Caenorhabditis elegans: one gene and its partners. The protein of the gene in region 1 interacts with the protein of each later gene in a pairwise test. Each region holds a gene or a part of one and is shown in the gene's direction. Other genes may lie near its edges. The genes, in order: ceh-8, memi-2, dmd-8 and tbx-9.

Region 1 (8,995 bases):
CAATTGAATTTCTTGTTGTGTTCATACTTTCACTTTGATTCTCCCATTCAATTTCATAATTGGCTCCCCGAAGCAATATTTTTCATATCTCTGTGAAATAAATGATCTCGACACGACCGAATTATTTTAAATGAAAAAGAGTGTGCGCCTTTAAAGTGTACAGTACTTTTCTTCGACTTTTTTTTAAAATTTAAACACTTGCTATTTAATGTGAATAACAGAAGTTAGACGTTTTGAAATAGAAAACGAGAAAAATCTAAAAATTGGGAAATAGCGAAGTGGGAAAACTACTGTACACCTTAAAGGCGCACAATCGTTTTAATTTAAAATTGTTCGATCGTGTCGAGACCGGGTACCGTATTTTCGTTCCGTAAACGCAACAAAGATAACGGTCCCACTAAATAACTAACCCAATCGAAATGTTTTTGTGTAGCTTGACCACATTATCGTCGAGATCATGTGTGAAAATTATGAAAGTAATGCATCTATAGTGATATTTGGTGGGGTTTTAATTATCCAGGGAGTATACGGAAGGTAGGTTTCGGAGTTTATGATAAACAAATGTAAAAGTCACGAGTTCAGAGATACGAGGTTTTTGCAACAACCCGATGGAGATCGAGGCCAGCAATCTAATATTTTAAAACAAGAAGTACTTAAAAAGATGATAAAATAAGGCAAAAAATTAATTTCTGGAATTCGTGGACAGTGTTAGATACTGTAATAACTCTTCTTCCAATCAAGCACAGAATATCCCTTCAAGAACGCATCGCAGTCTATGTGTAAGTTAAAAATTAAAAAAATATACGATACAATATTAAAAAGAACAAAGATGAATACTTTAAAAAACCGAAGTAAAGCATGGTCACCAGACCTAGGTCCTTAGGCTTAGTTGCTTAGCTGCTAATTCGATACGATAGGTTACATGAAAATTGATCTATATGATGGATTATATATACAGGGTGCGATTAACGTTTTGAATTTTCAAAATATCCCCATCCGCATCGCTGCAGGACCTCAGAACTTTTGAGATCTCAATTTTTTGGCACGCAAGTAGGCACTCTGCGGGATTTCTACACTTTTTCTCGAGGAATCCACAAGTGTCTTACAAGTTTTTATAGTTCAAAGAATGCTCTTGGTCTAGAGATTCCTAAAAAACAAAAATCCAAAAAAGTTCTGTCATGGTATGACTGTGGCAGTACTTTGAATGACAAAGACGCCTTGAATGATACAGTCGCCAGAAAGGTGGATGTGGGCGGCGGCAGCAGTATCCAAGAAAATTAATTTTAGTACTTTTCGACACGTTTTGATCTGACTTTCAAGAATTTTTATAGAAGATTGAGCTCGGATGATTTTGTGAGTCGTTACACCTTGTGAAGACAAAAAAAAACTGAGTAAATTTCGCAAAGTTGATTTCATGAAATATTCAAAGGTTCTTGCTAGGCGCCAGTGTCGACACATAAAATTTTTATATGCTACGAAAACAATCAAAAACGCTTCTTAACTTTTTAAACTTTGGATTTAACATGAAAATCATACATCTGAAAATTATTGGCGTCCGTCGGAGGTGCGTTTGTGTTGGAGGTGCCGCGTGCCAAAACACCGTTTCGGCGACAGGGATCGTCAAATTGCCGAGGCGATAAAGATTGCACCTTATTGGGAAACATTACAAATTTTAGGTCAAATTGAAGGAAATTTATTCAGCTATCAGTATTCTATAGAAAATTGTACGTGTGAAGTGGCAGTCGCGCGAAAAAACCCATTTAAAAGAGCGCTTCACGTGTTACCATACTTTTGGCGCACCCTATATATATATATATATATATACATTTGGCCTACGGGACATTTTTCAACTGAGCAAAAGGTGTTGTACGGTTACATAAATGCCTCTAAGAGACGCTGTGTTTTATTACAATTGGGAAAAAATATCACGTAGGTTGTAAGCTGTTTAGTATAAAATGTTGCAAGCATAGCAACTTATTTAATGTAGAAAAACTTTTATGGTTTGCAATTTGACCAATTTTTGATAAATCCCTACTTCAAAAGACACTTAACCAGCTAGAAACGTTTTTCCCGATATGCTGAACATGTGCCAAAACGCATACTGTATTTATTTAAGCATTGAATTCCCTTGAACATAAAGCATGCGACCTGATTGAGGAAGGAGCACGAAATATAAATTTTATGATGACAATTTATGGTTTCCTCCCGATATTCCAGCTTGTTCCCTTTGCTGCTTCCCATCACACAGTTCTTCTTTAGATTTCTTTTATTGGATGGCTCCTCCCCTCGCTCCAAAATATTCCCCCCTAGAAAACTGGAGTCAATCTCCTCCCCAATATATTCTGCCACCCTGCTGCCCTCAATTTTTCCTGTCCTGTCATCCGGGATGAGCAATCCAACTGACAACAACTCTGCCACGTCATCGATAACACCAAATTGTGAGTTTTTGATGTTTGAAGTCTCTACAAATTTGGTAATTCAATTCACCTATTTTGTCAAATTATATCCAAATTATTTCCAAATTCGATTTGCGAGCTTTTTTGGGGCTCCACCTCCACCCCCTCTAATTGAATGGAATTTTAGTTGTTTTTTTTTCGTTTGAAAATTGGAGATTATTCATATGCTTGATTTGTCGGATATGTTCAAGAACGTTTGATTTAATTTCAAAATTTAAAAAAAAATCAAAATCTCTGTTTTTTAGATTAATGAGAAATGTTAATGAGAAATCTAGATTCGAATTTAACTGTGAAAGAGTATTAAAACTTTGTCCGTCGGGGTTCCCAACAAGCATTTTTCTTGAAATTTTAATACATCATGCAGTAGAACCTTAACGCCACATTGCAAAACACGAGCTTAAAGGTTACGTTTTCACTTTTTTTTCACTTTTCAGGGATGCATGTTTGAACTGATACTTTTAAAGTATTATCAGCATCTCAAGCTAGATCAATCAAATCTAATTTTCTTTCTCGCTCTCAAATTTCTTAAACTAAAATACTATAAAATACTCCAAGTTTTTCAATCAAAATAGTAAACTTTAACTGATATGAAGTCTTGTCAACACAACCTACCAACGCTAACAAAAGTTCTCTAATAAAATGAGTAATCCCCAAATGACCTCGAGAAGCTGCTGGAAGAAAAGTCATGTGAAAAGCATACGTTTCTTTTCCAAGGCTATCAGGTGAGATATGCGCCAAAATACGCATTCTCATTTTACATTTCTAAACAACAAATCTGAATTAAAAACATATTAGGTATTTATTTCTTTAATGAACATTCCAAAGGGATTTTATTATCCTGGATTTTGGACTGATGGTAACGATTCTTATTACTTATCAGAATAAATATCACCCAGATTCTAAATTTTGCCAGAAGAATGCGGTACACGGTCTCGATACGACCGATTTAAGCCCAAAATTTCCGGCAATCGTACCGGATTTTCTGGCAGTTTTCAGTACTGTAGTTCCCAACTCCTCGTCGTTGCGGATTAAAAAACTGACATTGAAAATGCGATTATCCGTTTCTAGAGAAAATTCTTCCGTAAAAAAGCACATAAACCCTTTTATTCGAAATTAAACCATTCATACAATAAGCCATCGTAAATTTCAGAAATCAAATGTTTCTCGAAAGCAATTATTCAACTTTTTCCTAAACTCATCTCATTTTTTTTTTCAGTTTCGGCGTTTTCCTCATTTACAACATACAAACCATCCGACTCATTTTCTTCATTTGAATCTGATTCTTCTCCATCAAAATCATCATCATCACGAAAGAATCGAGATAAGATAGCAGACAAGAAGCAACGTAGAAATCGTACAACATTCACGACATTTCAACTTCATGCTCTTGAAGCTGCATTTGATAAAACTCATTATCCAGATGTTTATGCAAGAGAAACATTGGCTGCTAAAGTTCAATTGCCAGAGGTTCGAGTTCAGGTGAGAACATATTTTTTATCTGAGAGTAGAGCAGCGAAAAATATTGAAATTTTATTATTTACTGTTAAATTAAAAACAGAATTTAATCAGTTTTCACATATCAATTTTTTAAGTTTACCAGAATAACCAACACAATTTTTTTGCAATGTACCAAAACTAGACTGACTATTTTGGCAAATCTAAAATTTCCATTTTGAGAATATTTTGGCATTCCGTCTTCAATATGAAATTTTAAAAAATTATATTGTAACATATGAATCAGTTCTGGTAAATCGCAAAAAAACGGAGGTTTCCTTGAATCTGAAAATTTACGGGTCACCAAGAACTTATTATTTTTACAATAGTGCCTCTTTGTTTTAGAACATCTTTTGCTTTAACTTTTTGCTGAAATAAAACTTATTTTTTTTTTTTAAATAGTATATATTATTCACAAGAGTAAAACTGAAAATTCACGGTCGACTAGCCAGTGTTGTTCAATATGAAAATGACTGCAGTGGAAGCTCTTGTTGTTTTTTTGGAGATTCGACTTTATTCGAAAAGCGAGAATTTGAATTGCTATCTAATAAATGGGGGGGGGGGGGGGGTTATAGAGATTAACAATTTATATTGTCAAATTTGATATTTTTTGTAATTCTCAAAATTAACAGAAAATTTGAAATACTCTGCGATTTGGTAATTAAAACATTTTCAAATTTGGATACGGTAATGTTCAATTTCGAATTTTTTTTAGTTTACGAAAAAATTTATCCAGCGTAGTAAAAGATTAACATATACATGGCACAAAAGTGAATTCACATATTTTCATTCTTTAATATAATTATGAATATAACTCCACTCGAGAGCTCATGACAATTAAAATTCGAACTATTTGCTCTTGTCCATGACCCTACTTGTCCTTTTTCCATGCAGCTGTGAAAACTGATCTCATCCGGAACAATTAGTAGTGTTAAATTGGCAGGTTAGCACTCCTGTCACACTTCCTTATGCTCTTCTGATTTTTGAGTCAAAAGGGGGACAAACAATAAACAGTAGAAGAAGAAGAAGAAGATAAGCATCTGACTAATCGACATTGTCTTCTCAAATTTCTTTTTCTTTTCCGTCACTTACATCCTACCAATTTAAGGATTACCTCGCCGAGTCTCGACACATTGTTGTCATACAAGGAAAAATATGGATGCTGGGGAGTGAAGAAGTACATTACGATGGACTTTGAAAAAATGAAAATGAAGTTCTATTTGTAAATTGGGGGGGGGGGGGGGGTGGTTATAGATTAACAATTTATATTATGAAATTTGACAATGCTCCGAAAAAATATTTTTAGACAATTCATTTAACGTATATTCTCTATAAGATATAATGATCTATAAAACACATGAAAATCATTAGATTTTTCAATATTTTCAGTCAAACAATCGGAGCTTTTTGAGTAACTTTGAGAAATAAAAAATCGGATTTCTGTTGGTTTTTCCTTTATTTCTAATTCGGTATACTTGGTGTAATTTTCCGGCGGACTGAGTTTCCCGTAAAAAGAGCGAGCGTTCATCAAGACAGTTTACACATTCTTGATGGGATTACTGTAGGTGGTGGATAAAGAAAGATGTTAGGAGGAACAAGAGAAGAAAGTAAAAACATGGCACTTTAATGGACAAGATGGGGCAAAGGGAGCATAGAGATTGACAACTTACTAATTGGTATACGGTAGATGAGGGAAATAGTGGCGGAGAAGTCGAATGGGAAAATAATAAATTGGGGAGGAACTTTATTTTAAATCAGATATTCAAAATCTACATTTGAAATTTAAGTTTTGAAAATTGAAGCCTTTGGTTTTCTAATGGATGGTGCAACTAATGGATGGTGTAACAAACTTATCATAAATGTTGCGTAAGTATGTAAGTCGCCTAGAAAATATTTTTATAAAGAATTGGCAATGGTCGGGAAGTTTACGTTAGAATTTTTGAAGCTTGAAAAAACGAAACTCTCAAACCTCCCACCTGGACGTGATTTTTTTCCACTGTAATTTCTTCCAGAGTGCAGATGGTAAAATTTTGTCAACAAAAAAAATTGTAGAAAAAATTATGGGAAACATTTGTTTAGTTAAAATCTTTTTGCGAGCTACTGTAGTTTTCGAGTTATACTTATTTGAAAAACAACAAAAAATCATCGCAAAATCAGAAACGAATATTATATTTTAAAAAATTGGGTCAATTGTTATAAACGTTAGGTAACTTTTATGTTCTGACTTTTCTGTAAATGTCCTATTCAATTCTAAATGTTTTACTTTCTTCTGTTTCAGGTATGGTTCCAAAACCGCCGAGCTAAATTTCGCCGTCAAGAGAAGCAGGATTGTCAAGGAGAGGAGAAGCATTCACTGAAAGATACAATGCCATCTTGGTTCGCTTCTTATGATAAATGCCCGTCTAATAGAGTTATCACATTTAGGTCATGGATGAGTGAGAATAAGACAGATACACCGCCAATGCTTCCTCCAGCAAATACACTTTCATCAACTCATAACAATGGAATTTCCGATGAATTCTTCAAGACTTCCGAGGGAAAAGAAGTTTATGGGTTTGTTTAAAAAAGTTTAATTTCTAGATTAAAATCAATATAAATTGGTTTTCAGGTTTCCATTCGCTGAATATGGGACTCCGGCGGACAACACGCACGTCAGCAAAACTGGAAACGTTTTTCATTTGAATTTCGAAGACAGTGATAAGAAATCAATGAAAAAAGTATGTTTCTAGTAAATAAAAAGCTTACGACTCGCCTAGAAAGTGAAGGAAATTCAGTGAAGAAAAAATATTTTTTTAAAAATTCAAGAAAACGGCTGTACGCCTTTAAGAGTACTGTAATTTAAAGCTTTCGTTGTTGCGGAATATTCGTGGATTTTTCATTCGAAAAATCATTCTTACGACTTGTTATTACGGGAACAATAAATCATGAGAATGCGTACTCGGTGCATTTTATTTGACGCTAAGAGATATCGCGCGTCAAATAAAATGCACCAAGTACGCATTCTCATGATTTATTGTTCCCGTAATAGTTTTTAATTAAAAAATTATTAATGAAAAAGGATGAAAATTTAATTAAAATGCTACAGAAACGATAGTTTGATATTACAGTACTCCTTAAAGGCACACACATGTATATATTTAACAAAAAAGCGACGCGCCGACACCAAGTACCGTATTTTTGGCTTAAAAATATCGAATTTTCGCGTCTGAATAAGCTTAATGTTTATTTTTCTGTAAAATTACTGAATGTGTATAAAATTGACCATGAATTTTTCAAATTGAACGCGTAAAAATTCCAGGAATCGCCTCAAACACCATCGACAAGTAGTCCATTCATTTCGGAATATCATCCACCATTTATCCCTTATTATATTCCAAATCAATCATTTTCCAATGCATTTAATCAATATCCAATGCCATTCCCCTATCCAATTCACTTTGAGCCACCACAACTTACTCATAGTCAGGAAAATTGTTGATTTTATATGGAAAACTATTACGAATGTTAGATTTTACTCATGTTTTTTTTTAATCTACTGATTTTATGATTTTTTCTTCAAATATCCCCCATTTCTTCAATCTTCCTTCGGCACAATAAACAGAAGTTTCCAAGGGGGCGGCGCACACCTAACACATTTTAGAGTGGCGCGCGAAACCCGTGATATGTCGGAGGCCGCAGCAACTATCGTCTAGCAGCCGGCTGTCTCATTTATTGCAGACCGGTGATGAAACTGTTCTAGGAAGTGCCGTCTTAGAAACAATGATTATGAATTGGACGCTGAGGTCACTGCAACTAAATTAATTAAAGATTGAGTATGAATTCAGAGAAGTTAATTTAACAAAGATTAGAGCTATGTTTTATTGTTTTGCTGAAAAGTTACAGATAAATCGAAGAGCAAGAAGTTTCTGAAGTATTTTCTCATGATTCAGCCAGATTATCTGTATCAGTTTGTTCTTACAATTGGAGCATCGCCACCAATGAGTTTTCAGAAATAATTTTCTAAAACATGATGAGCTTGTCATGTTATGCAAGGGAAGAAGATTGTAGCATTACAGTTCGTCGAAACGTACATTTACCTTCATGAAAGTTATGAAAACTCTGAATGGTTAAAATACAAATATAACAAATAATATTCAAACCACAAGAAGAAAAATCATTAATTTCTTGAAATTCTAAGCCACATACACCCATCGGTTATTGCTATGTGAAATAACACTCGATAAAGGGAAGGTGTATCGCCGAAAAATTGAGAAAAAAGTAGACGGATAGGGGATCCTTTCCAAGCGAAAAACTGGCTATTATGCAACACGCAGATCTACTTTTTTTGAGCTTTTTGGATACGTATATAATGGCAACGATTTTTACGAATAGACATCATCCAACGATGACAACATCTGGACAATTGGTTGCTGGTACTGCCGTTGCACTCTGCGGAGTTGCTATTGTTCCAGGTAAATTCATTTTTAAGTCATTCTGCTCACGAAATGTCTCAATTTTCAGCTATTTTTGCCGCACTGTTTGTCCTTCACGACATTAATTCCTTCCAATCAGGAGTATATGAGGATCTTGCTGAATTCAAAACTCTTGCTGAAGATGCTTGGACTACAATGGTTCCACGTGAAGATGCTGTTCAACCATTCGAGACCTTCCTTAAAAGATTCAGAAGAGGATATGGAGATGCTGGAGTTGCTGGATCTGCATCCGGTTCTTCTGGTTGCAATTGTGGACCACAACCAAAGGATTGTCCAGCTGGACCACCAGGACCACCAGGAAATCCTGGAACCCCAGGAGATGATGGACCAGCTGGAAGAGCTGGAAATCCAGGAAGTGACTCAACTGAAGGGGATCGTATGGCTGACTTCAATAAGGATGTGAAGTGCCCAGCTGGACCACCAGGACCACCAGGACCAAATGGATTCCCAGGACATCCAGGACCAGATGGAGATTTTGGAGTTGATGGAACAAATGGAAAAGATGGAGAACCAGGACCAGATGGACCAGAAGGAGATGAAGGAACTCCAGGACTTCCAGGACCACCAGGAGAG
Region 2 (4,785 bases), on another chromosome or scaffold:
CCTGTAGAGCTTCCTTTCTCTCGACAATTACTTTCTTCGTGAAATCATGAAGAATATGTAGGCATTTTTCATGAGTCCGTCCGTCTTCTGTTCTGAAAATTACAAATTAATTGTTAAATTATTAAAGATGTTTTTTTTCGAATTTTTTCCTTATTAGATTCGAAATTGTCTGAAAACACCGAATTTCATGATGAAACTTCTTGAAAACTTCTAAAAAAAAACGTTATGACGGCTCGAAAAATGACCTAATGTTAGATAAAATTTGAGATTTGACCGGCTTGAAACAAATTTTTTTACGAAATCACCGTCTAATTTTGGGTATACAATTTAATTATCTTGGGTTTACAACTCGATTTAGGTATTTTAAAGTCGATGGACGGCGAGATTTTTAAATTTTTTTACCTAATCTCGCCGTCCATCGACTTTAAAATACCTAAATGAAGGTGAAACCCCGAGATAATTAACTTATATACCCGAAAAAATTAGTTTCCAGCCGCTTGACAATTCGGTCAAATTTCAAATTTTAATTAATTTTAGGTCATTTTTTGAGCCGTCATAATTTTTTTTGAGAAGTTTTCAGACAATTTTGAGTCTAATAAAGCAAAAAAAAATTCGACTACATCATCTTTAATGATAAATTTAAAATTTTAAAACTAAATACCGTACAAATTGTAAATAAATGAATTCCACATCAACGGATTATTTGTTCGCTTTGAAATCAGCTTATTAATTGTGTGCACCGCCCATACATACTCGTTATTCTGAAAAAAAAAACATTTAGAAATTTAAATAGATGGAAGAATTTCCCGAACCTCCGCGAGTTGAGCACCGATAGCTTTTCCCATGGAAGTTTCGCAGATGATGTCAAGAGTGCAAAGGGTGATGACGGAGAGAACATCAACTTCTTCACTGAAATAAAACGTTCGAAAGAGTTATGTAAGAATTAAAATTCTCACTCTGCTACACCGAGGCAACACAATTTCTGAATCAAAATCTTCGATTGCTCGTTAAAAATCGGCAAGAAATCCTTGAGAATATCATAATGGAAGGTTGGTGTCAATAGTTTTCGCTTTGGACGCCATTGTTCCTTTTGGCTCGTCAAAATACTGATTCCAAGCCATGGCTCAAGCAAAACGTATGCGAACCCTTTGTTCAGATGTTTCGTGGAAGAGAAAATAGGTTCAACAAGATCGGCAGAGTAGAGCATAAGACATGGGAATGGACCAATCCAGAGAAGACACATCCGTGGATCTGGATACAAATATCCCATTCCAATCACTTGATTCATGAATCCCTCTGGATCGGGCTTTGTGATGAGTCCGTGACCGACGATTGGGTATGATCGTGGTTGGTTGAGGTGCTGAAAGTTTATTCAATTTATCTTTAAATGAATTTTGCAATCAAACCTTCAAAACTTGACGCATTCTCAAGTGTTTGTAGATAAGCCAAGCAATCACCGTCGCCGAAGCGAGAAGTACAGCGGGGATGATAACCCCCATTGTAGAATCTTCTGAAATAATTTATTTGAGCGAAAAAAACGAGCAAAAAGCGTTGAAAACTCGAGGAAAAGCCTGAAAATCGCAACAAAACAAACGTTTTTTGATTGAAAATTCAAATTTCTCCCACGCTTTGTCGAGACCTATGTGAAAATTGTTATGCGCCTTTAAAGAGTACGGTAACCCAGAAAAGACGAATTTTTTTGAGAATTATTCGTTTCAGCTTTTTTTAAGACGAGCACAAAGCATCAAAAGCGTTTTAAAAATAAGAAAAACGTTTGTTAAATTTTTTCGATGCTGAAAATATTAAAAAATCGCAATAAAAAGAACGAATTATAAGTAAAAAGTCAAATTTAACTTGCGTCGTGGTGATAGCCATGTGAAAATCTTCAGGCGCCGCCTTTAAAGAGTACGGTAGGCTTGAGAAAGTTCTCGAACGAATTTTTGTTGTTTTCTGATATTTAAATCTTGATTTAATTATTAAAAAGTTCCAATCACTGTTAATTTTTCATTAAAAAAAGTGAATAAAACAAATCCAAAAGTATTTATTTTTGAATGAATATTGTAATTTTTATGAATGATCTCCCCGCGAAAAATCAGCGCAACAATTTCATTATTTTAGGCCCAACAAAATTTTTTGATCGTGTGAATTCTTCTTCTTTGCTGATGTATTAAGCTGATGCTCAGAGAGATTTAATGAATCTTTTTCATAGCTTTATCGGTAAATTATTCTTAATCTGCAAATCACTTGAGCACATTGTTTTCTTCTTTTCCATTAATTTTTTACACCAAAATTTTTCAGAATGTCAGCTCCATCTCGCACCGTTCTTCGCGAATTGACAGCGACCAGATACGTGGTCAACTACAACGAAGAAGATCACCTGGAAACCGCTCGAGCCGGTTGCTCTGCCCTCCCACCACAACCCAACATCAATCATGATGTAATTATCGAAGGGCATGGAGAAGACGTGGAGCTCGTCGACGATCAGAACTACCGTTCCCTGCATCGTATCGATGAGACTCCAAAGCTCGTCGACAAGAAGCCGAGCAAGACAGTCATCCGCGATGAAGCTGTCAAAGTGCTCAGAAGCATTCAAACAATGCCGATTGAAAGTCTTCGTCTCAAGCGCTACGACTTCTTCTCGCAAAGATGGTTCAACACGACCAGAGAATCGGAGAAAGCGCTTGTCGAGCACGTGCTCCTTCATCCCAATCAGCGACCACACTATTTCGCCGCTCAGTGCCGCATGCTGTTGGTCGAGGATATCTCCAGTTTGATTCTGGTTAATTTCTTGAGAATATTTTTCCTGAAAGAATTAAATTTAATCTCAGACTTCCTTCCTGGCCGAGCCGAAAGAGACGGGTCAAAATGTGGTTCGATTCGCGATCCAGGCAACGACTGAAATGCCATTCCATCTATTGTTTGCTATGCTCGAACAACTGGAGATGGAAAACGAAGGATTCCAGATGACAGACAGCTTTGTGGTGGCAACGTTGAACCGATCACAGGGCAGAGTACGAGAAACAGTTTTCTGTTTCATGCCAATAACTTTTTCAGACTACCACTCGTCACCTGCGAACCACAAACTGCCGGGAATACGGAAATCTCGAGCCAGGACTCGATTCACAAGGCCGACTGATGGCCTCGACTGCATCAATCACGTGTTCTATCCGAGGAAAGCGCCACGTGGAAACGAGGATCGTGTACAATAACAACTCGAACGCCAGGAATACTTCAGGGAGAAGTAGAGTGAGTTGAGCAGCAATAAAATCTCGATTTTCAATTTATGAAATTTTCAGTACATCGAATTGGAGCAAACAGTGAAGTGCAAGAACCGACGTGTGCTGATTGTCGAAGATCCAGTCGAAATCCACGAATTTGAGATCGAAAAGGACATGATCCCGCTGGGAAAGGGAATTGTGCCAGTCGAGGACCTGATCACGTTCCTCGAGACATTCAAACTGGATGAAGAGGACGAGTAACTCCAGACATATGTCCTATAATTTGTAATGTACATAATTCTGTATTATTGTATCAGTGGTTCTTGTTGAATATATCAACTAACTTTCCCCTTTATTTTATTTTCCTTTTTTGTTTTGGTCGTTTCCTGTATATAGATTCTCCGCTGCCCCAAACTATTTTGCTTATGTTTAACATGTATATTGCTTGAATTAACATTGCCAGAATATGAACTGGTTGATTTTGCAATCTTTTTAACGATGAGATGAATTATATATTACATTCAGTAGTTGTCTTTATAATATTTGGAATTTAAATTACTTTACTCCAAAAAACAACTTCTTTTTACTTTACTCCAAAAAACAACTTCTTCCGGTTACTCATATCCGTTTCTCCACACTCACCTTTGATCGTTTTCCAACAACTTTTCCTCCTCTCTAAATTTTGTTCGAGTTCTCACTCTCACCACGTGCGGGGCTCCAAATAACAGCTGCTGCCTCTGAAATGTCATCGCGAGGCTAAAGATTTCCATTTCTCACAAAATTTGCCGTTTCGGCATATAATCTGTGCTCTGTGTTGGCTGGCCGACGATGATTGAATTGGCTCATTGGCTCATTTATGCGTACTTGTGAGTTTTAAAAATGGTTTGCCGGTTTGCCAATTTGCCGGAAATTTGCCGGTTTTCCAATTTTTCGGAACTTTTCAATCCCGGCAATTTTCCGGAATTTTTCCGGTTTGCCAATTTGCCAAAGCTTTTCAATTCCTGCAGTTTGCCGGAATTTTGCCGTTTTGCCAATTTGCCAGAACTATTCAATTCCGGCAGTTTCCCGATTATCCGGAAATTCGCCGGTTTGCCAATTTCCCGGAACTTTTAAATTCCGGCAATTTGCCGATTTGCTTAAAAATTGCCTGTTTGCCAATTTGACGGAGCTTTTCAATCCCGACAAATTTCCGATTTGCCGGAAATTTGCCGGAGTTTTTCAAGTTGCCGATTTGCCAGAATTTTGAAAATTTTCCGGAGCTTTTCAATTCCTGCAATTTGCCAATTTGCCGAAAATTTGCCGGTTTCCCAATTTGCCGGAACGTTTCAATTCCGGCAATTTCCCGATTTTCCGGAAATTTGCCGGTTTGCCAATTTGCCGGAACTCTTTGTTTCCGGCAATTTGACGGAACTTTTCAATTCCGGCAATTTGCCGGAGTTTTTCAAGTTGCCGATTTGCCAGAATTTTGAAAATTTTCCGGAGCTTTTCAATTCCTGCAATTTGCCAATTTGCCGAAAATTTGCCGGTTTCCCAATTTGCCGGAACGTTTCAATTCCGGCAATTTCCC
Region 3 (5,163 bases), on another chromosome or scaffold:
TCCATAAATTTTTTTAAAATTGTTTTGAAAATTTTTATTTTGGTATTTTGTCATTTTACACAATAGGAGTGGTTTTTAACAATTTCTTAGCTGGCCCGACTGCATCTTCTACATGAAAACTCAGGAAAACCAGTGATCTCTCAAAACTTTTGAAATTTTTATGAATAGCATTGGCCAGCATCGCATTTTGAACCATCTTATCCAGTGACGCAAAAATTTGACTTGACCGAGTCAAGCCGGTGCTTATCCAGGTACTTTCGAACAACGTGGCTTGGAGCTATCAAAAATGATAAGCAGATTGAATTTTGACGTTATTGGTGTCAAAACCAATGTCACTAGGTATGGTTATTTTTAGGAGTGCAGGTTTTTTTTGGAAAATAAAAAAATGTAACTTCATTAATTTTTTCCAAGAATTTTTCTTATGGGTTGATTTTTTTCAGGCTTTCTACCTACCTCCAAGAAATCTTGTTGCATTCTATGTTTTCCTATTACCCCTATTCCACGTGACAAAATATAGATTTCCCCGGTGGGAGCAAGAATTCTTCAAAGATTACGGTAGAGCGTCTAGACGGTGGCAAAAAAACAAAACTTGTCGATCAGAAATGAGCATTTCCCAAATGAGCATAAACTAGTATAAAACAACTAGTTCCTACATGTTTTAGTATAGTTTTTTTAAACATTTTTTTTACTGGAAAAAATGTTTTTTTTGTGCAGCCGACAGTGATCGAGGACGGTACAGAATTTTTTTTTAACCTTGCGTGTAAAATTTGGTGCATTGGAGTCGGTGAACGAGGCTTTCGGGCTTGCTTGCCAGGCTCCTTTTCAAATTTAGATCGAATTTCATTGTTTAGAAAAAACATTTTAAAAAATTATTCCATTATTTAGAAAAAGAAAAAAAATCATTCAAAACAAAAAAAGCATGATAAAGGCAATCACAGAAATGGATTTAAATCGCCTAATAATTCAAACACAAGGGCTAAGCAATGCGAGAAAAAGATTAGCAATCGTCAAAATCCGCTACAGATTTTCTTATATTTTCCACACAAAATTTGAAACCACTCTGAGCGATTGATTTTCGACACAATTTGTCATCCGATTTGTTGAAACTTCTGAAAATCTTTTTAGTTTTAGTGTTTTTTTGTGGTTGTTATGAAACATTTTGCAATGATTTTCAGCTTGCTCAACTTTGAATTTTCCAAGGTTTCGTAGGCGTAGACCATAGGCGTAGGCCATTAGCCATAAGTGTAGGTCATAGGCGTAGGCAGTAGGCGTGGGTCATAGGCGTAGGCAGTAGGCGTAGGCCATAGGCGTTGGCCATAGGTGGAGGTCATAGGCATATGTCATAGGCGTCGGCCAGCAAGTTTTTCAAGTTTTAAAAAATTCGAGTGTTTTCAAAACGAGATGAGCACCACCTTTTTGTGAACAAAATGAAATAAATCGGCTTTTAGTCCAACTGCTCAGTTGCTCCATACTGATCCGCGTAAAACCCCGACCGGATTGCCCCTCCTTATCTACGCAAACTGCGAATCTACGTAATTTCCCCCATCGACATGAGAATTCCGTCATAGCTCCGCAGAGCCAAAATAGAATGTTTACGGCGAATTTTCTCGAATGAGTGGGGAGGGATGGCGGAGACGTTAGACATGGTTAGACAGCAATCAGGGATATTCAAGAAAGAGGCGGAGCCGGCAGATACAGAAAATCTTTCATTCCTGGATTGAAGATGGGAAAGGCGGATGAAATTTTATTTATTTATTTCGATTCCATTTCATTTGTGAATTCATTTCGATAGCTTTTTTGCTCCAAGGGGAGCTAGGTTACTGTAGATAAGGGAAATTTTTGGTGGCCGAAGAAAACTAGAAAAACTTCGGTCACGCGCCCAAGCCTCTACAACTTCCTGTTTTGCTTATGCTTTCCCTGAAAATTTCTCTGAAAGCATCGTCTATATAGCCCCCAGGGCCTTATCAGGCGACTAGTAAAACATGTCACAAGATTTTTTTTCAGACAAGTGACTGAAAGTACTGTAAATATTCCATTGACGCAGTGTCTATAAAATTTCAGCCAATCAGGTCATCAAGCTCAAGCATCCCTTATCTTGTAGCCCTCACAATTTCATTTTGTGCTTCAACTTTTCCAACTCTTGAAAAATGGAAAATTTCAGACTTACCTGATCATGTCCTCATCTTCCCTGTCATCTTCTTCAAATGCCTCATCGCTCAGTGCTCCAGAAGGGCTTTCACCAAACAACAGCCTCTCCCCGGATGTTGGAGCACAGAGATTTTTCAGCCAAGGGAAAAGGATCCCGAAAGGTGAGCTATAGCTTCTTAGCAGCCGACAGTTAATTGGTTTCACGAGAAAGGGTCAGTAGAAAAATGTATGGTTGGTTAACTGTCGGCTGCTGATTTTTTTTCAGAAATTAGTATGGCCTACGCCTAACATAGTTTTATTTTTTGTTAAATTTTCAGATGTGAAACGGCACTGTGGAATGTGCAAGCAGCATGGAGTTTTCGTAGAGACGCGCGGGCACACCTGCGAATATAGAAGTTGCGAGTGTGAGCAGTGTGACTTGGTCCGTAAGCGACGGGAGATCATGTCAACTCAGATTCGTCTCCGACGAGAGCAAGACAAGAAGTTCCAGGTACCTTGTGATTTTTTTCCTAATTTTCCTAACTATCCCCGTGTTTCAGCGTACCAATGATATCAGCGAGGCCAACGTGTTCCCAGGCTTCACAGGTGGGGAGGCAGATGAAAAAGCTGTCATGGAGAACATGAACATGTGCTATTTCTGCCAAAAATGCAAGAATCACAATGTGCTCGTCTGGAAGAAAAATCACAAAAAGGAGTGCCAATATTCCAGCTGCGAATGCCAACAGTGTAACTTGATTGATTCCCGTCGTGCCCTGGACCGGCATATTAAGAAGCGAAAAATGAGCATAAAGGGCAACACGGTTGAAGCTATCGCACCGAAAAGTCCCAAAAAAGAGGGCTCCACCACGGCTTCATCATCGTCACTCTCATCTTCTTCGGGCTGCAATTCGGACGAGTCGGCTTCATCCTCGGATTGCTCGCTATCTGGAATGCTATCAGAGAAGTTGAACATGGCTCCGCAGGTTCAGATGAAATTCGACTTCAGTGCCGGGGGATTTATGATTCCTGCAGCGACTTCGGCAAATGCAAGCACTAGTCCGGCTGGTTCTCCATTTGAGGTGAGGTTCAGATTTTCTGAAAATTTTTTCAGGTACAGCTTGAACCTGAAAAGGCATGTGGGCATGTAGGCATGTAGGCATGTAGGCATGTATGTATGTAAACCTGTAGGCATGTAGGCATGTAGGCATGTAGGCATGTAGGCATGTAGGCATGTAGGCATGTAGGCATGTAGGTATGTAGGCATGTAGGCATGCACTAGTCTCGTCCTAAAAACTGCTCTAAAAGGTTTTTTCCAGAATTTCTAAAATTTCTAAATTAAATTTTTTTCAGACAACATCTCCAATGCCGCTTCTCCTTCCGCATTCACCAATTGCTCTTCCACAACTTGCTCCATCAAGCCTACCGCTTTCATTTCTTACCGTACCCTCTCTCATGTCCACCGCGGCCTCACCATTTTTCACGGCTCCGCTTATGTACGGAGCTGCTCCAACTCTTTTCCCGAATCCTCTCCTGATGACCCCTATCGGAATGCAAATGTTGTTCCAGAACTTTCAAAATTTTCAGAATATCCGTGAGCTTAGCGCTGCAATTAGCTGCGCTGAAACCGATTGATTTTTCTTTTTAATTTTTCAAAAAAAAAAACAATTTCCAATCTGTGATTTATTGTCTTTTCCCTGTAAAACTCTAGTTCCTTCCCAGTTGCACCTCAAAAAGAGTAAAAACCCCATCGAAATTTTAAGCTGTGCGGGTTTTCAGTTCAAACATGATGATAATAATATTTTGATGTTTTTGTGTTTTATATTTCCAAAAACTTTTTTTTGATTCTGCAAAAGTGATAAATTAATAAAATTGTACTCTTATCAATTTATGACTCGACTAGAAATTGAATTATAAAGTCACGGTTTTTACAGAGAATTTTCCGAATTTTCAGCCACCATATCTGGAATTAAGCTTGGATTTAGAAATTTCACGGCCTTTTTTGCATAAAACGTCAGGAAGCAATCCCATATATTAAAAAAAAACTAAATGTTAAAATTCAAATATATATTTTGTAGAATTTTTTGTAATTTTTTTTCAAATTTTGCTATTCCAAAAATAAGCTTTCCGGCTAAATTGAGCAGTTTCACTTTTTTTGATTTTTTATTTGAGACGTGATCTGTCAAATTTGCATGCATTTTACAGCAAAAAAATTAATGTTAAGTTCAGGCCAGTTTTAGAGTTTCACCCAATTCCTTTCGGCCTGTCAAGTTTCCTTTAATGACAATGGTTGAAAATTTGAAAAAAATGGCCGAAAAATTCATTTACCAGTGAAATCTCACAATCAGATTTTTTTCAATTTTTGAAAAATTTAAAATAAATCTTTAAAAAATTAGAAATTTTGTTTCGGTTAACATGACCTGTTTTTTTGTATCTCTTCAAAAAATCTCTTATAAAAAGCGAACTGTAAAGTGTCGGCTGCTTCCTAGAAGTTCTCGTTGTCTTCACAAATCACAAATAAAGAAAGAAGTCATGTCACGATCGTGCCCTCGAGACGTCATATCAAATTCTATTGCTTATCAATGTTTCAGTGCCCAACCTGAATCCTGAGTCACCCGAGAAAATGTTCTTGTTAACGACTCGAGCCGGTACTAGTGATTTCATAAGTTTCTTATCAGCTTTATCAATAAAAAATGTTTTTAGTATCGTCTTCGTAAAAGAAAAATGGAATGCCGGTTTTGAGAATCACATAGAGCTTGTGATTTTTGAGATGACGTGAGGAAGTCAGGTAGTATAAAATAAATTACGTTTGAGTAACTTTAATTGGATTTACTTTGGTTTTTTATTGTTCGGTGCTCGCCACGACATCATGCCTGCGTGCCTGCCTACCTACGCGCCTTCAGGGTGTGGTGGCAGTAGGCAATCTTAGGCTAGCACGCCAAATGCTCAGGTTCTGCAAATTTGTTTTTTGGTGTTATAAAATTTCCCTTCTTCTCTATGTATCCTTATCGAAAATTGTTGATTATGGAATTTTTCACA
Region 4 (5,241 bases), on another chromosome or scaffold:
TCTTTCTAGCAAGAAACAATTCTAGGTGAGAACACAGATACATATCTTACTTTCTTTGTTTGACATAGACACCAAAATAGCTGCACATGATATTTTCAGCAAAATTAGACAAAACAATGAATGTCAGCACTTTGTTCTCGCCGCCACGTGGCAGACACGCGTACAACGAGGAGTTCGCACCTGTGGAGGAGGATATACATTTAATTAATAGGTATGGAATTGAATTAATAAATTTAAAATTTTATTTTGTTAGGGAAGGAATGTGATTTTTAAATTTTTTGAACAAGTGTTTTAGTGTTTTTAAAAACATTTTAAAAGCAGGAAACCTCAATTTTTGTGTTCCTGGGAAAAAAAAATTCAGAACAACTAATCAGTGATTGTAAACCTTATCACCTGTATATCCATTGACGCCAACTAACAATTGTGGAGGTTATAAATCCGCCACGATGTTTATCGACCACCTGATTTAGAGGTACCCCCCGTAAAAACACCGACTCGGAGAGTTTTGGGAAGAGTAAAGTTTTACAGCTTTTTTTTTGGTGTTTTGGAGATCAGTCTTATTTTCTAGGAAAATGGGGCTAATGGGGTCGGAGAAATTTGGGTTCAGATAACAATTTGGGAAACGATTATCTCGAAAAGCTTCGAGTTTACCGAATAGTTGCCAACTGACAAAATATAGCTCTGGAAATTATGAACAATCAGTTAGTTGACAAATTTTTGATAGCTGCATCCACAAAAAAGTTAGACCCCGGAAAAAAATTGAGTTTTTTTTTGAAAGTTGACATCTTTTTGATAGCTTTTGGGAAGACGAATATATCAAAATTATCCTGACTTATAGACTTAAAAGGTTTGCTCAAAAATTGCTCAGAAATTTTAATGGATCTGCAAAATTTGGAGAGTTTTTCCTAATATTTTTGAGCAATGTTTTAGAACATTCGTTATGAAATTCGAATTTTTAATATCACTTTATGTCTAAAAATGCAAAATAATTTTGATCCGTTAACCAATGTTTTCTTTTATCCATTTTCCTTCAGCTACCAATTTTTACACCTCCAGTCAATACTGTCGGTGTTCTATCAAAAGAGCCCACTACAACTAACCGGCTCAAAAATTTTACAACGTATGCTCTTTTGGAGGTAACCGACAAAAAAGGGGTATACTTGGAAATGGTATATTATCTGGAAATAGAAGGAGGGTTTGAAGATGGAATAATGGGTAATTGTGGAAGGTATGAAAATGTAAAATGGTAAAATCTTTATTTTGAAACATTAAATAAAGTTATTTTTTTCAAATTTCGGTTTTTATATGGTACAAAAAAATTCAGTTTACATTAATTTTTACTGTCATTCTTTCTTGAGAAAAGTGATCTCAAAGTAAAAATATACAAAATCCATACTGTCGATAAGCATGGTATACATAGCATAATTCTTTAATTAATAAGGAAGTTGTATCATCTTTAAATTTTGAACATTTTTTGAAGTTTACATAAAACCAACATTTTCGGACCGTCTTCTCTATTTCTATGCCACATCAGAATTTGATCTCCCAATTTTGTTTTGAAAGTATACCCAACTCTTTTGATCTACCAGTCAGCCGCCAAGTCTTCCCAGAATCGATAGCCGAGAGGGCCACGCGCACAACCTGCCCGCCCTTGCAGAGGGGTGTGGTTTGGCAATGAGGTGAGATGGGGTGAAGATGTGCACAATTTCTCACTTCTTTGTCTTAAATCACCATTTTTTTGTGATGACATCTCTATCTTATCGTGTTTCTTATTTTTCTATTTTTTTGTTTTCTTATTTTTGAACGGCGGGGATATCTCAGACGTTATCTCAAAACTGGCAAGAGATACCAAATAGTTGTCAACTAACAAAATATTGCAAATTTTATCATTGTTGCTTTGTTAGTTAACAACTTTTTGCTAGATACCACCGTTTTTAAGTTAGAATAGTTTTCCCGCTCCTCCTTCTCACTGGTACCACACTCTAAGCAAGTGTAGCTGCCAAACCGGTGAGAATATAACATTATATCTTATACCATTTTCCAACTTTTTTTTTGCTGTTCGTTTTCATAATATATTTTAACGTTTTCAGACAAAAAATGTCCAAAGTCAAAGTATCAATCGAAGGATCCCAAGAAACTCTCTGGAAGATATTCCACGCAGAAGTCAACGAGATGATTGTCACGAAGAACGGCCGAAAGTTGTTCCCAAAGTTGGAATATATAGTCGAAGGGCTTGATGAAAACAAGCTGTATGCAATAATGCTCCAATTACAACCAGTTGGAGAAAGTCGATTCAAGTTCAGCGGTGGAAAGTGGCAGGAAACGGGCAAAGCTGAGAAGCAGGTCGACGCGAAGAAGATGTGGCATGCTGATGGAGTTCGGAAGGGAAGGTGAGTGTGACATAGGAATTGGAAGATTAGAAGCTATGAAGATTTGTAAACTGACATGATTATCAAAATAGTGAGAACCATTTTGTCAATTGGCAACTTTTTTTAGCTCCGCCCTGGTATTACAACTTCAAAGCGCCATATCTCAGCGGGCTTGGAAGTTTTAAAAAAGATGTTAACTGGAAAATTGTTAACTGATTTATCATCTACAATTTGCCAGTTGACAACTTTTTTCTAGCTTGAGCCATTGAAGAGTTAGAGCTGCCGACACTGGCATTCAAATGCCTTTGGAATATTTTGAGGGTTACATCTCATCTAACATTAAAGTTTTCAAAGTTTGTCGTTTGTCAACTGACAACATAATTCAGATGAAAATAATTCTAAATTTGCTAAATTTATATCTTCAAAGTAACCCCAATTAATTTCAGTGACTGGATGTGGAGTTCGATTTGCTTTGATCGTGTGAAAATCTCCAACTATTCAGAGTCCAACAACGCTTCAATGGTAGGATTTCAACTTTAAAATTACTTGGCAATTTCCAATTTAAAATTGAAATTTCAGATTTACCTCAACAGCATGCACAAGTACATTCCAGTGCTGACAATCTACGAGTCTCCATCGGAGAGCCCTTTCTGCGTCCCACAATCCTCAAACCAAATCGTCGCCACCGCCAAATTCCCTCATACCGAGTTTATTGCAGTAACGGCTTACCAGGTTAGTATTGAGAGTAAGAGTATTAGCGCATGGATCTTATCTCGGAAGAATCAATATTTTGTGAACAATGGGAAATCTGGGAAGGAAGGGGGAAGTCTTGTCAACCATCATACTTATCAAGAAGTCGTTAACTAATAATTTGTAACCCTAGTTGTAAAGATTAATTAGTTAGTTGACAAGTTTTTAATAGAGTTAAAAGAAGGAGAGTTACACTTGCTCAAAATTTGGCTCTATTTATAAATTTGAAACTGCGCTACTTTAAGCACTCCTACCTCGCCAATAAAAAGAGCTATATAAAAGTTGTCAACTACAAAAATATTGCTCGCTTTGTGATCCATAATATGGTGTTTAACAATTTCTTAATAGATTCTTTGTTTTCAAAGATAGAGAGAGTTGAATAATAAACCTAATTTTTCCTCATTTCAGAACCAAAAAATCACCGACTTGAAAATCAAGCACAACAGTTTTGCCAAAGGTTTCCGTGACGGGAACTTGAGTCGCAAGAGAAGATCACCATCATATTCCGACGGCAGCAACTCACAGTCCCCATCGCCAAAATCCAGATCACCACCGGAGGTCGCACCTCTTCAGTCGATGCCTCCAATCAACCCATTTCTTTTTTATTTTCCCCATATGTTATCTGAAAATCTTCCAGTCCAATTTCCATTCGCTTTTCCATTTCTCTCGCCTCTCCCGTCGACTCCTTCCAGCTCGAGCAGTGAGCTGAGCATTGTGAAGGAGGAGGATCAGGAGGTAGAAGAAGATATTGATATTGTTGGTTGATAATTTTTATGCAAACTGGTCGCTTTTGATATCATGTAATCAAAATTTTTAATATATAAATATATAAAGCTTTATATTTTCAAAGAAACGACTTTTTGAAGACCCGCCGATTAAATTAGAAGTTTGTCGACTGAAAAAGGCAGCCTAGACTGCTAGCCAACAATTTTTATACCTACAATACTTAAAAATGTATTGTTTAAAGGAACACGTAGTTTTCTGAGTGGGTCTTGCCACGATCACAGTCATAGTGGTCGCTGCAGAACCCACATTTTTAGATTTGCTTATTTGATGTTGAAATGGAAAATTTTCAAGACATTACGAGAACACACAATTCTGAGGATGCGTATTGCGCAACATATTTGACGCGCAAAATATCTCGTAGCGAAAACTACAGTAATTCTTTAGAAGACTACTGTAGTCAAGGGTTCGACTTTTTGAATTGATGTTCAATTGATGTTCAATATTTTCCTCCTTTTCTTCTAGTCTGATTCATTTCAAAAATCGAGCTCGTAAATCGACACAAGCGCTACAGTAGTCTTTTGAAGAATTACTGTAGTTTTCGCTACGAGATATTTTGCGGTCAAATATGTTGCGCATTCTCATTAATTTTGTGTTTCCGTAATATTTCGTGCTTTGACTTCGTTTATTGTGATATCCACAAAGATATACTTGGCAAAATTGTCAACATAATCACGCAACTTTTCTTACAGTTCAAGGTTAAAATTTCAAGGTTTTCCAATAGTTTATTGTTGAATTAAAAGAGATAGAAAGTCCTTCCCTTCCAAACAAGCAAACAAACAAAAAAAACATTTTCTTAGCACTTCTCCTTGTCTTTAGCGGAAAGAATATCAAGAGTGACGTATGTCATATCATAGGTTCCACCGATCTTCTCCTTTGGAATCAAATACTCTGAAACACGCTTGCATCCGGCCTTCTTCACGTTGCAGTTGTGGGTGATTATGAGGTATGGAGAGATTGAGGTGATCTCGTCGTCGGATCCGGTAAGTGAGAACTCTCCTTCTTTGTTCGATTGCATTGAGGCGAGCTTGTCATCGGGGTCGACTGGAAAATTGAATACTAATAGTACGTTTGATAGCTTGTAGGTGTTGCAGAGAATTTTAAGGGTTTTTTATATGTCCTAGGAATATATTGGCAGCCTAAAGCTAGATGAGGTTTTTGGTTTTTTTTTTCTAAGCCACACATCAAAAGTCAATATTATAATTGCAAATTATGGATTCAGTTAGTTGTCAATAGCAGAAAAATACCAGCTTATTAGAGTTTCAAATAATTGACACGGTACAGGAAAAAATTGCCAGAAATCAGTGGTCGTGCTTTCTCTTTTCGCGGCCACGTGGAA

The links.
Region 2: the proteins of ceh-8 (region 1) and memi-2 interact in a two-hybrid assay, tested with the Caenorhabditis elegans proteins (one large-scale study listed by BioGRID).
Region 3: the proteins of ceh-8 (region 1) and dmd-8 interact in a two-hybrid assay, tested with the Caenorhabditis elegans proteins (one large-scale study listed by BioGRID).
Region 4: the proteins of ceh-8 (region 1) and tbx-9 interact in a two-hybrid assay, tested with the Caenorhabditis elegans proteins (one large-scale study listed by BioGRID).

What each region holds. Positions count from the first base shown.
Region 1 is NC_003279.8:8,244,288-8,253,282, reverse strand, and holds ceh-8 (Homeobox protein ceh-8), read left to right. Parts: upstream 1-2,334; 5' UTR 2,335-2,386; coding exon 2,387-2,438; intron 2,439-3,232; exon of another isoform or gene 3,233-3,266; coding exon of another isoform or gene 3,267-3,312; intron 3,313-3,672; coding exon 3,673-3,935; intron 3,936-6,228; coding exon 6,229-6,326; intron 6,327-6,374; coding exon 6,375-6,503; intron 6,504-6,558; coding exon 6,559-6,667; intron 6,668-7,248; coding exon 7,249-7,428; 3' UTR 7,429-7,778; downstream 7,779-8,995. Other genes in the region: col-63 (Nematode cuticle collagen N-terminal domain-containing protein), read left to right, coding at 8,335-8,401, 8,451-8,995.
Region 2 is NC_003282.8:13,398,020-13,402,804, reverse strand, and holds memi-2 (MEiosis-to-MItosis transition associated), read left to right. Parts: upstream 1-2,298; 5' UTR 2,299-2,299; coding exon 2,300-2,779; intron 2,780-2,828; coding exon 2,829-3,011; intron 3,012-3,054; coding exon 3,055-3,246; intron 3,247-3,296; coding exon 3,297-3,479; 3' UTR 3,480-3,737; downstream 3,738-4,785. Other genes in the region: cyp-31A5 (CYtochrome P450 family), read right to left, coding at 1-92, 667-761, 813-909, 957-1,360, 1,407-1,499.
Region 3 is NC_003283.11:333,449-338,611, reverse strand, and holds dmd-8 (DM domain-containing protein), read left to right. Parts: upstream 1-2,161; 5' UTR 2,162-2,173; coding exon 2,174-2,309; intron 2,310-2,465; coding exon 2,466-2,638; intron 2,639-2,687; coding exon 2,688-3,206; intron 3,207-3,477; coding exon 3,478-3,759; 3' UTR 3,760-4,011; downstream 4,012-5,163.
Region 4 is NC_003281.10:10,338,708-10,343,948, reverse strand, and holds tbx-9 (T-box transcription factor tbx-9), read left to right. Parts: upstream 1-2,090; 5' UTR 2,091-2,097; coding exon 2,098-2,390; intron 2,391-2,815; coding exon 2,816-2,891; intron 2,892-2,948; coding exon 2,949-3,101; intron 3,102-3,527; coding exon 3,528-3,884; 3' UTR 3,885-3,943; downstream 3,944-5,241. Other genes in the region: ttr-15 (Transthyretin-like protein 15), read right to left, coding at 4,699-4,946. UniProt on the Caenorhabditis elegans protein: Transcription factor. Involved in the control of early morphogenesis of the intestine, hypodermis and body-wall muscle. Involved in regulating expression of vab-7. Appears to have partially redundant function to tbx-8.